2 linked regions of the Struthio camelus genome follow. The protein of the gene in region 1 purifies or fractionates together with the protein of each later gene. This does not show direct contact. Links are inferred from orthologs where the notes say so. Each region holds a gene or a part of one and is shown on either strand. Other genes may lie near its edges.

Evidence for each region.
Region 2: the proteins of FLCN (region 1) and FNIP2 purify together in Homo sapiens (affinity purification with western blotting; 5 studies listed by BioGRID and IntAct, with this or other methods). This does not show direct contact. The link is inferred for Struthio camelus from reciprocal best matches to the Homo sapiens genes FLCN and FNIP2.

What each region holds. Positions count from the first base shown.
Region 1 is NC_090956.1:4,044,061-4,051,086, forward strand, and holds the start of FLCN (folliculin), read left to right. Parts: upstream 1-3,949; 5' UTR 3,950-4,155; exon of another isoform or gene 4,156-4,419; intron 4,420-4,843; 5' UTR 4,844-4,873; coding exon 4,874-5,122; intron 5,123-5,942; coding exon 5,943-6,089; intron 6,090-6,794; coding exon 6,795-7,016; intron 7,017-7,026. UniProt on the Homo sapiens protein: Multi-functional protein, involved in both the cellular response to amino acid availability and in the regulation of glycolysis.
Region 2 is NC_090945.1:41,145,959-41,153,353, forward strand, and holds the start of FNIP2 (folliculin-interacting protein 2), read left to right. Parts: upstream 1-4,338; 5' UTR 4,339-4,732; coding exon 4,733-4,917; intron 4,918-7,395.

The DNA of each region.
Region 1 (7,026 bases):
CAGTCTAAGTGAAGGCCATGCTGTAGATCTTTTCTTTGTTTCTAAAGAAAGCAATTCCTTATGATAGAATCGTATACAGCTCTCCTAAAAGCAGGGATTTATTTGGAAATAACATGCTGGAATAACATCTGGTTTTTAAACCGCTATTTCAAACATCACAGCGTTGTCATTGGGTTCTTTAAGTGCTTCGCTCTTTGAATCGATGGGCTCTCAATTTTTCTGTAGCTCTTAATGTACTTGAAGATTATTACTGTTCGAGCACCTTTGAAACACTTAATGTCAGTGCAAATCTCCTACTATCAGACATAAATAAACCTGTCATCAAGTCAGAATGTGAGCAGCTCAGCATCCAGTGCTTCCTACTTAAACACCTGAATAGGAGCTGCTTGCTACTGCTGATGACCTGCCAGTTTTTTTCAGGTGCCTAGGTGGGAACTAAGGATTTCTGGCTCTTGCCGTGTGGAACTTGTATGTATTGAGGTCACCAGTGGTTGGAAAATATATCGTTTGTGCTTCCAGTGCTGATACAGAACTGTTGGGGTTTTCATTTGAAACGGGCATCTTAATTCTAGCAGAGCCTCTGTGACTGAGTGCTCTCTAGTAGCAGAGAAGTGTCCACAGGCTGTTCTTTAGGTGGTGAATGAAGTTTTTAAAAGTATAAAATAGCAGTTTAGTAGCGAACACAGCATAGGTCCATAGCGTTAGTAGCTCACCATTGAGTACTTGTGCTTCCTATCATAGCAACTTCCATATTTGAAGGCAACTTTTACACCTAATCTTAAAGGAAAATCTTGTTTTTTTTTTTTTTTCACAACTTGCCTTACCAGTCTTGTAATTAAAGATATTTATGATTTTTAAAGTCTTTTCCTAGTTAATCCTGCAGTGATTTCAATGCTGAACATGCTCATACAATTTTCTGCTCTGGTACTGTGGAAGTGTTAAATATGTGATTCATAATGTTGTGGGCTCAAGCGCAAAGTTGGGTGGTAGAAGTATTTACGATCATATGCAGTAGTCACAGAAAGCACTGACAGTGACTAACCCCAAACTGCCACGTATACAAATATGTGGAAAGCTCGCCTTTTGTCACCAAGGGACCACTTGCCGGGGGAGAATGTATGAAGAATGTTTTCGTGAAGTTTGAGAAGAATGAGAAATGTCCACTTCGCATGGCTAACGTTTTGTAGCACTAGTTCCTATTAGTGAACACGGACGTACCTGCTGAGAGCTGTTGCAGTGGCTTTTGTATGTGTGGAGTTACAAGCAAACTAATACATGCAGCTGGCAAAGGGCAGCTTTTTTTTTTCTTTTTTTTTCCTCTTGCCAAAAGTAGGTAAAGTAAATCATACTACATGTCAAAAGGATGTAGAAATTGCTATGTGATAGTTTCAAAGCATTGCCCTTAAAAAAACAGATTAAGAATAGCAGCATTTATATATAATCTGAAAGTTTGAGACCTGCTAAAGTTTGTTTTCTGATGTGGATAATTGTGCTGCTAAATTCCCTGACTGCTGTTGAAAATTCAAAGTCAGGTCCCACCACTAGAGCTGAGTCGATGGAAAGCGTTCACCAAAAGTGCTTTGCAGAAGGGCTTCTAAGCAGGGGGGTCTGATAAATACGTTCAGTCTGGCATCTGCATGTCTTGAGATCCTATTGAAAGCAAGTCTTCCAGATTTTTAATGGAGTAGCTCCTTCAAGTCTTGGAACTAATAGCGTGGGGCTGTGGCCAGCTGAGAAGCTTTGAGAACACTTGAGCTTTCTGGTTGTAACTTCTATTCTACCAAAGCCCTTCCCTACAACAAATATAAGGCCACTACGTGCTGTGTTTATCCAAACTTAGGATGTGAGAAGTGCTAGTTCTTCCAGTCGTGCATGACCGCAAGGTGTGATCACAAAATACTGAGTGCGTGCTTTGATATCTAACCCATATTTTCATGCATCTTCATTAACTGCATTTTATATCTGCATTAATTAAGGTAACATGAGACTTGCAACTACACTTTTTAGCCACAGGAGGGATCTCCAGTTCAGTTATACGTAGCAGCTACTGATGTGGGATTTTGGGGGTTTTTTGTTTTGTTTTTTAAAGAAAGGGCTAGAAGTTGCTTGTATACAACCACCTCTCCTATTTTGGTGCCACTGAGGAGCACTAACTAGTGAACTTTGCTAATACATCTGCAGTATTTCCGTTGCGCCAAATGCTTTTGCGTAATTAAAGTTGCCTCGTTCTACACAAATTCCCTTTCTCTATTCTACAGTACAACTGCGACCCGTTTTGTGTGTTGTCATGGGTTTTCTGTATAACGTAGGAATTGTTTTCTGCATGGCCATACTGGCTGAGGAGGTTAGACCTGAGAAGCTGTTTAAATGTACTATTGGAAAATAAAGATAACAAACGAGTAATTCTTCTTAATTTGTCTTAAATGGCTGGCCTGAAAGAACGAGATAGTAGGTGTTTCTTATTTGGCTTTCTCTTGGCTTTTGGGGGGTTCTCTTGTTCTTGTCGCTTCTCAGGACAAGTGATGGCTTACAGTTGGTCGGAGGGAGACTCTAGTTGTTGTCTGCGCGTCGCCATGCCCTGTGGTCAGGAGTTGTTCAAGCTCTGTTGGTAGCTTTTCAGAGGTTTCCCGGAGTGTTTCAAGTAGGAATAGCTGGTTCCTTTTGTGCAAGCAGGCGGTAGGACCTCCTTAGGAAGAGCTGCTGCAGGCCCTGGTCCAAGACGGGCTCCAGGGTTAGATGGACTCTGGATCAAACATATGCTGCAAATGAGGTCTCTTTGCATTCAAATCTCATCTCTTGTGTTATGATCACCATCAGAATGATGAGTGCCATTTTCTCCACCAGAAGCATAACTCTTTAGTCCAAGCATGGCTGCTTGGATCCAAGGGCACATATTGTAGTAATCATTGATCTCTGCTATTTCGGAGGATTTAAACTGTCTGCAGCAATGCAAGGTGTGCTCAGCTGAATGGTCAAAAGTATATATATCTATATATTTTTTTCTGTTCTCGTGTGAAGAACAATACAACCCTCTCTCTGCCTTAGCGCGGTTTCCAAAAATGTTATAGATCTATGTTATTCCATGGCAGAAGACTTACCATAGTGCTCAGGTGTTCTAGGGCTCACCTACAGTGGAAGGGGAAGGGGGAGAATCTAGCAATTGATTATTTTAAAGCCTGAAAGGATAATTATTTCCCCTGGAATTTGAGGTTTATCTCTTCATTGCATTTTCCTAGGGATAAATAGTGAGCTAGTACCACTGCCACCACTAATGCCCAACTGGTGCAAGTGAAAGGAGGGGGGATGCGTATAGCAGGAGAGACTAAAACTGGCTTGTTTCTTTTAACTCGAGGTGGCTGCTCCCTTCCTCCAGGGTCTTAATCTGGGCCTTGCTGGGCTGACTTTCTAGATATAATTAGGGGAAAAAGACAATACTTAAAGGCTTTTTCCATTATCTGCCCTAATCTCGTATTTTATTAGTCTACAGCATACGTCGTACCGCTCGTCTAGGCTCTCTGCGCCCCCCCCGGAAGAGGAGTCCCCGAGCGCGGCTGCGTTCCCACACCGGCAGGCTGGCGGAGGCGAGCCCCGCGACCGCGCACAGCCCCGCGCCGCGCACCCGGGAGCCCCCCCACGCGCCTGCGCGCGCGGGGCGCCACCCCGCGCCCTGTGGCTGGCACGTGACCCGCCCTTTGGACCGCACCACCCGCGCCGGGCAAGGGCGGGGGTGCGGCGCCGGCTCAAGGCCCAGCGCCTGCGGTGGTGGCAGGGCGGCAGCCCGTCCCTCGCTCGTCTCAGGGGTCGGGGCTCTTTCTCGGCGCTGGGTCGCCCGGCGAAAGAGCCGGAGAGGGAAGGGAGGAGCCTTCGGCCAGAGCTTATCGCCCCCCCTACTTTTAGGGAGTGGTTCTGCCCAACGCGTGTGCAAAGGGCGGTCGTGGACCGAGCCATTGCCGAACCGGGGGGGGATGGGGGGAAGCGGCCACTCGGGGAAGCGGCCAGCAGGTGTCGGCTCCGTACCGGGGACGAGGAGCTGCCGGCGCCGCTGCGCTGCCGCGCTCCTTGCTCCTTGCCGCCCCTTGACGGCGGCCCGAGCGGAGCCGAGAAGTCATCTCCTTCCCCCTCCCCCTCGCCGTCGCGTAGGGATGGTACAGGCCGGTGGGTCAGTCAGTGTCAGGCGCGCGGAGCCACGGGACGGGCCGGGGCGGGGGAGCCCGGAGCCGCGGTGAGTGTGGGGGGGTCCGGTCCGGTCCGGTCCGGTCCGGTCCCGTCGGGCCTGAGGCGTCCTGGCCCGGACGGTCCGGTCCTCCTCACGCCGTCCGGCGGGGCCCTGAGGCGTCCAGGCCTGGTGGGGGCATCGGTCTGGCCTAGTCTCGCCCCCTCAAGGCCGAGGTGTCCGGGCCTGGTGCCGGCTGAGGGGAGGTCGGTCCAGGCTGGGGTGTCCGTGAGGCGCGGGGCCGGGTCTGCCGGGGGTCCCGCTTCTCTGGTGCGGGTCTAGCACCCCGGCGAGCAGCCAGCCCGCTGCCTGCTTGGCAGAGGGGTGACTGTGGATCTGCCCTTGCTCTGCTACGGTCCCGGCTGCGGAGCGGTCAGGGATGACGAAGGCCTGAGTTTGGTCTGCCCTGTGGGGAACTTGGTGTCAAGGCTTCGCTTGGGCAAAGAGAAGACACTCTGCAAGCTGCTGCTGGTGTCTTTCAGCATGGGAAAAATGGACTGAGCGTGTAGTCCCTTTAGCTGAGCTTAGCCCCACGATCTCATGGAGGAGCGTAGAGAAGGACTTGTGCCGAGGGGTGTTTTAGCCTCTGTTTGTTTTACTGATGTTGCGTGCTTCCTTGCTTTCCTGCAGGAGGCCTGACCTATGTGCTGAGCTCTCACTATGAATGCTATCGTTGCCCTCTGCCATTTTTGTGAGCTCCACGGTCCTCGCACCCTCTTTTGTACCGAGGTGCTACATTCACCGCTTCCTCAAGGTGCAAGCAGCGGGGACGTCTCTGGGCAGAATGAGCAGGCGGAAGAAGAAGAAGGCGGCATTCAGATGAGCAGTAGGATCCGCTCACACAGCCCAGCAGAAGGTGCCAGTGCTGACTCCAGCAGCCCAGGGCCAAAAAAGTCAGACATGTGTGAGGTAAGTGTGTATGCGTGTGTGCAGACATTGGTGACCCCTTGCTTAACTAAGGGGCTCATGGATTCTCTAATTCCAATTGTATTGCTTAGGAGGAAGAAAATGCACGTGACCTACGCTCGCATTTGTGTGTGACTGCCAGTACCAAAAGATCTTCAAGTCCTTAAAAACTGTAATAACCCATGACAGGATGTTAAGGAACTGTTTTGTGCATATAGGCTTTGGCAAGGTGATCTTTTGAGGACACTTTGGCCTATGTTACCTGATTCTCTGGTGGCTGAGAAATGGCTCGTTCATCCTTGAAGAGGACCTGCTTCATTACGTTAGGTCTGGCCGTAGATTAGTAAACTTTAACAGCAGCATTGAACAGGAACCGGGAAAAAATCCCAAAAGCAATTAAAATGATAGAGAAAATACATGTTTGCAGTTGTTCACATGCTTTTCTGAGCTACTTAAGTTAGTTACCTTCTTTTAGATAATGGCCATTTTTATTAGCTCGTTAGTTTCGCAGTTGCTGTTAACGTTGAACTGAATTAGATGACTTGTAGAGTCATCATCAAATCCCGGATCAAACTAAACAGTGGAAAAAGAGCATAGCAGCTGAGGAAATATAGCCCTTAGGATGCTAGTTGAGGAGCTGGGTTCAGATTTGGACCTTGCCTCAAACTTCCTATGTCCAGCTTACTCTTAATGAATATCTGCATTTGCATCTGTAAATGTAAACATCACTTCCCTACCTTTTGAAGGGAACATGCAGAGGGCTTTGAAAACCTTAGGTAATTGCATGCTCATTTATGGTTGGATTTTGCTTTTCTATCTTCAGGGTTGCCGCTCTCTTGCAGGAGGACATCCTGGATATGTCAGCCACGACAAAGAGACTTCAATCAAATATGTCAGTCACCAACACCCAAATCACCCCCAACTGTTCAGTATTGTGCGTCAGGCCTGTGTTCGCAGTCTGAGTTGTGAGGTAACTGGCTTGGAGTGCAGGGGGAGAATCTGGTTTGGGGCTTACGCATTGTTCTGAATCCAAGATACTGCTTCGTTGATCTTAGCCGCTCTGTGCAGCCTGAAACAAGGAAGGAATGGAGGTGGAAAGACAGACATAGAAGTCCTGTTTGTTCCAGGATTGGTGGGAATTTTCCGGGTTGATCTTTGCTAACCGGGGTGGGGGGGAGTTCCTTCCTCTTGCCTTGTGACACCAGAAGTTTCCCTTTATTGTTTTTGCTCCTATGCATTTATTGTTTTTCTTTCTGAGATAAACTGTGTTTGTAAAAATGTTGCAATCTGTTGCTTTGCATCAAGAAACGTTTTATCTTTGCAGACCGTTTACGTTCAGCATCTCACAGAAGGGAAGGGGAACCTTACGGATTAATGAGTGTTTGTGTGTCAGAATCAGCAATTCCTTGTGGAGTCTCAACGTGATTATAGTGGAGCAGAGCTGAATTCTTAAAATAATTTAAATGAGGGTCACACACTTGCAGGCTATCTCTGGAGGTCTGTTTGCTTATGTATTTTGGATAGCAGCCTAGAGAAGGCTTGTTTTATTCACCAGGTAACTTAGGCTTCATGGGAGGGGGTGTTAAAGAGCAGGAGGCTTTGTTCAAGCAGTTCATTAGTGTTTCAGCTATGCGATGTACTGAACTAGTTTGGTGTATGTGTCCCTTCCCTTCAGGTCTGTCCAGGACGTGAAGGCCCTATTTTTTTTGGAGATGAACAGCATGGCTTTGTGTTCAGCCACACCTTCTTTATCAAAGACAGCCTGGCTCGTGGTTTCCAGCGCTGGTACAGCATCATCACTATCATGATGGACCGGATTTATCTCATCAACTCCTGGCCTTTCTTGTTGGGAAAAATCAGAGGCATCATTGACGAGCTTCAGGGCAAAGCGCTCAAGGTGGGTCAGT
Region 2 (7,395 bases), on another chromosome or scaffold:
ATTTACTTATGTCTAATAATGTTTCTTACTCAGTTGTGTTATTTTTTTTCATATTCTAAAACTCCTCCTTTGAACAGGCACTCGAAGGCTGCATAGAGTGTGGTTTTTTTCCCCCTTAAAAAACAAAACAAAAAACTGAGGGCTTCACAGAAGAGGGAGAAGGAACAGCAAAGAGCAGGCAACCAAACCCATGCCTTAGGATACCACCCCTAAGGTGTGGTGGTGATGTCTGTGCTGGCCTGCTAATTTATGTAGGAGATATTAGTGTCTGAGATCAGTCAGTACTTGAGTGTAGCATTGAAATGCAACAAGAACGGGTACGGTATTATAAATACCTTCCATTATATTGCTCAAAATTATTCTTCAGAGGTGAAATATGTCATTCCTCATTCTCCTGTTCAAGAGCAGATTGTAAAAGCATACACAGTAAAGCTGGTAGGATAAGAGATTTCTATTCATCTCATTTTCTGGCATACGCAATTCTCAGACGTGCCTTGGCAGTATCTGCATTTAGTAGCAGTGTTCCTGGAAGCTGGCCCAGTCACATGGCGCTGCTGGAACAAGTGACATGTGAATGATGCATTGGCTGAGACCTGTGTTGAACGCGGGAGGAGGTGGGGCGGCGCCGCTGGCCGGGCGGCCTGCTCCTCTGCGCTCAGCAGAGATGCTGGAACGAGTACCGCTTGCTCCTGTCAGGCTGCTGCTGTTTGGCTCAACCTGTTTGTCTTTCAGTGCAAACTGGAAGTTGGTTATTGGAAGTGCCTTTAAAAAGACCAAGCTCTGTCCCTCTCAACAAGAATGTTAAATTAACAAGTACACCTTCTGTTCTTTGAAACTGTCGAGATGTATTACTGGGAAACAACTTTGACAAAATATTTGACTTCATTTTGATAAACTGAGATCTCCTGGCTGTTAGAAGCTACTGGGATTAGGGAGAATAGCTCTTGTGGGATAGAGTGGGGAAAGTTGATTAGGACTAAGCAAGAATTTTTGAGAAGAGACTGGGTTATGAATCTGGAGAGCTTATCTTTCTGCACTTTTAAATTTTACCCTCTGCTTGAAGTCCTAGTTTTAAAATATGCATCAATACTACCCTCTTAATTGTAAAATTGAATTAAATATGTGGATTTAACTTTTCAGTGCAGTTATGACTCTTGATTTCTTGTCTCTTTGCTAGCAAGGAGCCCCATTTCTGGGGCTAGCGGGTGAAAGTGCTCTCTCTGTGCTGTTTATGTTACCACTTCAAGCATGTTGTTTTGGGTTTTTGCATTAGCACTGAAACACTCTCTGAAACTTAGCTCCCAAACTTCTGACTTATCTATAAGGCAATGACCCGTGAATTTAGTGTCCAAACTTAAGAGTGTTGTTTGAGTTCTGAAACACTGATTTAATAGGCTATTCTTGATGTTTGTGGCAAGCTGATGTGTGCAATTTATGGTGACTTTAACTTGGTATAGAGCTGTTTGTGTAAGCCTCTATCAGGTGTTTGTGGTTTTTGTGGTCAGTTGTTTGGTATTGCTTTCTAGCAACTGCAGTAGTGAAAAATGCTTCCAGTTTTGCAAAAATTCAGTATAACCTCTCTCACTAAGCCAGGTAGTCTGTGGAGTTCCATGCTCGCAGAAAAAATACATCTAATGTTGTTTTACTTTTCATACAGCACTATGTAGAACCGTTTTCTAAAAGAATGGTAACCTTTCTGTACAGCGATCTGATATGGAGAATTGTACTTTCCCCACCACAACTCCTTCTTGCAGTAGAATCTAAACTGAGAGAGAAGTGCTGTAAATAACATGTTCCTTCACTTGTTGCATGACTAATCCGTAATGCATCCTGCTGAACTTGTGTGAAACTAGTAACTATGTATCATACTTAAACAAGGTGGTTCATCTGAGGTTAAATAGTACATTACCATATTAGGACTGCTTTAAATGATTATAGAAAAAGAACGTGATGTGGCATCAGCACGACTCTTCCATATTCAAGATTTTTAAAAGAGGGGAAGTAACTTTGGGTAAATTCTTAAAATGGGGGGGGGGGGGGGGGGAGGGAAGGTCACATCTTCTACATGAACTGTTCAACAGAATGAAGAAAGGAAATTCATCTTTAAGCAATCCAAAGCAGATTCCACTTCACCTATAAACATAAGCTGTTTTGGCACTCATCCCGAATGTCTGGGTTTGGGGCATTTTTTTATATAGTGATTTTGCTAAATGTATCTTTCACCCCCCACCCCCCAAATCCTCACTGAAACAGCAGGCATGGTTCAAACTTTGTTTTTCTATATTTCTCTAGTTGCTTTCTAAAAGATATAGTGGAAAATAAAACATTACTGGAGACTTTGAAAAGATTGTATTAAATTTGAGAACTGTTCAAATTTTAGTGGACAGTTGTAATTCATACAGAAAACTACTCTTAGTTAGGTAACTTCATTGTATATATTTCCTCTTTCTCCCATCCCAAATTTCCTTGCTAAAGTATCACCTTAAATTGGAAACATCTAGGCAATTATCTGAAGAGTCAAGATGAAGGGCAGGAAATGACCTACAAACAGAGCAGGTGACATGCTGTCACATAGCCTAGAAAAAGAGTGATTCAACACTGCTTCCCAAAGGACTATATCTGGAGGGCAGGACACTTTCTTCCATTTTATGTATTATCTCCTCTTTGGACTGGGGGTGATCTCCTGTGTGGCTTTGCTCCTGGGTGCCACCCTCCTTCCCCGAAGCTTGTGTTGATTTCCTTCCCCCTCTTCCCCCCCCCCCCCCCCCCCGTGGTAATTCCCAAAGTATTTTGGGACTTCTGGTACTCTACAGATGAATGCTACAATACTCTCATAGAAAGTCATAAAGTGCATCTATTTAATTGGCTTATTGGAGTTCCTAATTCACTGGATGTGAGTCCGGTAATGCAGTAATTTAGCTAAATGTTTCTGAATTTTGTTTAACTTTTCTTTGGGGAAGGTAGAACAGAACTGAATGCTGTCAGTTGCTGGTCCAAGTGTAACTAGTAAACCTGCCATCAACTGCTTTTCATTCAAGCTTCCAAGATAAATAGGAACGCTGATATTTGAAGTAGTGCTTGTCAATGAGGTAAGGGCGAGAAGTCACACTCTGCTAAATCATTTGAATAACTTTTGAGAACAGGCCAAAGCTTTTCACTTCTTTTGGACATTTGAGAAGGGGAGTAATTGTGATCTAGTACAGATTGCTAGTCTGGGAATTAAAACTGAGCTTTGTTTTTGGCTGCTATAGGTTTCTTGTGCAACTGAGCAAATTGTTTAACTTACCTGTGCTGTAGTTGCCGCCTTGTCATCTTGCCTAGTGGGACAGTGGTTGGGGTTTAGTGGGATTACTAAATCCTCCTAAGTAGGGTGCAGTGCTATTTAGCATGTATAACTAGGAAACTTACTACTTTTTCTAACCCTACTACTACTGTATTTCTGGGTAACCATTGGCCAAGTCACTTTCTCTCTCTTTTTCTTTTTTTTTTCCCCCCTCCATCTGGAAGAGAACTAGCCTTATTGCCATCATCTTATAAAGTGTCTAAAGCTCTAAAGATGGAAGAGAGCTATGCAAGAGATTAATTATGCATAGCCATGCATGGATACCTTTTTTTAAAGTGGAGGTGGGAAAGAGAACTTTGTTCTGCAGTGAAATTACGTGAGCCTGAAAAAAAATGTGCTGTTCTTTTAGTTTGTTAAAAAATGTTTTCTTTGTCAGAAGTATTTTGTGATATTTTTGTCATCAGTACTGCCATTAAAATGTTAAATACATGTTATCTGAACAATTTTGGAGAAAAACAGGCTCTGAGAAAAATATTTGTGAATCTGTCTCTTTGAATACTTTTAGAATTATCCACCGGGTAGCGTTTTAGGCACAGTTATAAATCCAATATCAATCAGCTTGATATTTGCTACAGAAACTTTTCTTTTTTCCTTCTACTTTTTAAAAAATGCTTTTAAAAATAGTAGTTTCAGGCTGCTAGCCAAGTGTAGATACTCTGTCCTCCACAGTAAAACCATTGTAGTGCAAAATCACTAGTGTGTTTCTTGGTGTTGGTGGGTTTTTTGTTTTTTAATTCTTTTTTTAGATAGCCATATGGCACTGATGACAGATTCTTATTTGCTCCTGAGCCCTATGAGGTTGCTAAGAGTTGTCAGATGACACTTGCTCACATGAGAACCATTAACAGGGTGTTGTAGCTGGTGTTAGAACAACCTTGCAGCAATGAAGGGCGAGTCACTGCAAAAGCAACTATGTCTTTTTTTTTTCCTCCCCCCCCCCCCCCAAAGGCCATATGGTTCGGTCTTGTGACTACATAATTGCCAGCTACCTAATCACATACCAGGAAGCAAACATAGTTAAAGTCAATATTAGTTGTTGTATCTGCTACAGCTTTGCACCAGGCTTGGTAGAAAAACTCAAACAGCAGCAAGAGCAAGTCTTTAATGGCTTCTGAAACTTGAAAGTCATATCTACTGCTCTGTCCTGGAATAATTACCGCAGTGTATTAGCTATAGCTATCTTTCTGCATTAATGGCTTGTAAAATATATGACTTTTTTTTTTCCTTAACAAGAAATTGGGCAGACTGGGTTCCTGTTTAGGGAAGAAGGCTGATAGTAATTACCATTGTTAATGACTTATCTATAGCAAAGAAATCTGAGGCTGTATCTCTTCAGCCTGTATTTGTTTTTTTGAAGGAGCTTTGCAAGAGCATCTTTAGCATAAGAAAATGTGTGGAGGAACACCAAAAGCTACAAATGGCAGGGGGGGACGAATAGAAAGAGCAAGAAATAGCAACAATGTACTACTTGGAAATAATCTCTCTCCTACCAAACTGGATAAAAGGATTAGAAAAGCTTTGGGAGACCAAAGTGTCAGCTGTGTGAGCAGAGTGACTAAAGTGCTGCAAGACAGGTATGCATGTAACTTTTTTTGGTGTACATAATTTTTGGCAGAGAATGGGTATTCTAAGTGTCTGTTGGATTTATAATCATGTGCTTAAAGGGCTAGCCTGTGAATAATTTAGAAAGCTTTGCTAGGATGATATTCTTGCTGATAATGGTGATTGATACTTCAGGAAGCCTTCCTTGTGTGAATTTGAATCTACATTCTTGACTCTGTACATTCTGTGTACATGCTAACTGAGGTCTGCTAACTGAAACTTTCTTTTCAGTTAAGGTGAAATAATCTTACCTTTCCTTTCTAATGTTCTAATTAGTTTCTCCTTTTTATTTTTATTTTTTATTTTTTTAGTCTCCTGTGTTAATGGCTCAAGTGGTAATAGTTTGCAGTGAAGATGGGAAGGAATGCTGTGAAGTAGGGGAAGAATGGAGAGGGGGCAACCCTCTGCAATACTTATAAATGATCTCTAGAACATTACATCAAAATAATGTGCAGTATGAATAGCATTTCTTTAACTTCTTTGTGATGCCCTTTTCAGGTGTGTGTCAGGATGTCTCTAGCTTCTCAGTCTCTTCTGCTGCACAGCTGTAATATGAAAGTACAGTTGAGGGCAGCTCTTTTTAAATTCTTATCAAGGGTGTTAGAGTAAAAATTATACTTTCAGGATTGCTGACCTAAGAAGCAATGAAGTATATAAGTACATATATGTGTGCATGTATGTATGTTTAAGGTCATCTTTTATTTCTTTAGCCTGTGGGTGTTACACTGAAATGGTGGTTAGTGTCTTTCTAAAGTGTTTCAGGTCAACTGAAGTAGTTTTCAAATATAAACGAATAGATCACTATTTAGTTATTGCATATGTGCTGGTTGCTAAAAAGTTGAGCTGATCAGTGTTTGCGGATCTGTGTTAACTGAAAATATTGATTCAAGGCAGAGAGGGGCAAAATTTCATAGCTTTTTTTCAGAAACAAATGACTCTGCTTTCCCCTAAGTAAAAAATCTCCTTGCTTTCAAGTCTTATGTCTGTGAGGAAAGAAATTTTGAACAAGCCAAAGAATAATAGTTTATTTGCCACCTTGGGAGAAAATGAAGCAAATTTTAAATGTAATTCTAATATGGAATAGAAGCTTGTTAGGGCATCTGTAAGCTGTTTCAAACTCACAGCTTTCAAAAAAAACTATTATCCATAGTGTTTTATTATCTTTAGTGGACCTTTTCCAAGTACAGAAAAGCTTATATTCCTGCTGTATAAACCTAGAAAGGTTGTTCTTGTCTTGAGGATCACATTATTAGTTCTGGCATTTTCCAGACATTGGAAAGATCCACTTTGAAGGTGAGGTTGAATAAGCTGGACTGTTCAAAAAGCTGATGTTGAAAGGAGCAATCACATTCCCCCTTCTTCCTCTGGTTTCTGGCAGCATGCTCCTGTCTTCCACCCCTTGTGCTGGCTTTGGTGTTTCTGATCTTTTTAGACCTGGCTCCATTAGGGAGTCAACTCAGACAACTAAGCTAGCAGAAAACTAGATCAGGAAACAAGAAAACCTAATGAACATCCCAAGCAGCCCCTGTACTTACTTGCAATGTTTTCTTTGTGCTCTTTCCTGAAGGTGGAGCTGTGGATGAAGTTAGCATAACTCCTGCTGCCACCAAGAGGTGGAGGTGCTGTGGTCGTCTTCAGCATCTTTCTTCTCTTTTCCAGCTTGCCTTCTGGCCAGCTTTCTTAGGCTGGCGTGGATTTCTGCTGTTCTAGAGAGTTCAGGTGGCTTACAGAAGGGTCTAACAGTTCTCAGAGCTGACATGAACAAGAGGACAGGTTGTGCATTTACGAAGAGGGGAGAAATGATATGTGGGATTGCTTTTCATATTGTTATCAAATAAGGTGTTTCGTTCGGTCAAAATAGCCATGTTTAACCTGAAATACAGCTATCCACATAGGCTTACATTCATTTAATGAATTCAGCTAATTTTTAAGAATATGCAGGATCTAGCATAATGTCTAGTTTTTAAGACAAAGTGAAACATTTCAGTTAGCTGTCAGATGTTTCTAGAACTTCAGTCTTATCTCCCCCTTACCTTTCTAGGGCGTGCTTATGTCAGAAATCAAATTTATCATTTTGCAATAAATTCAGACTTAGCTTCAAAAAACTAATTTTGTTCATTGTATTTGTAACTTTAAATAAGTCACTTATGAATATGTATGCCTTCAGCACAGATCACTGATGGAAGTTATTTTAGCATTTTTTTTAAGTAATTCCTTTACAAGAATTGAAGACAAAATCTTCTTATATAAGCAGAAGGAGAACAAGTTTTACATAAACAGGGCCGAGGCAGATGATGTTTCAGTTAGTATATGGTGAAATTTTTATTTTTGGAGACTTCTTCTAGGCTAATTGAAAGAAACAGCAGTTGCTTTGTTATCCAAAGGTAGTAATTGTATCTCTTATTCTTGTCAAGCATTCATACCAAAAGTGAAGCTTACCCTAGGAGTTA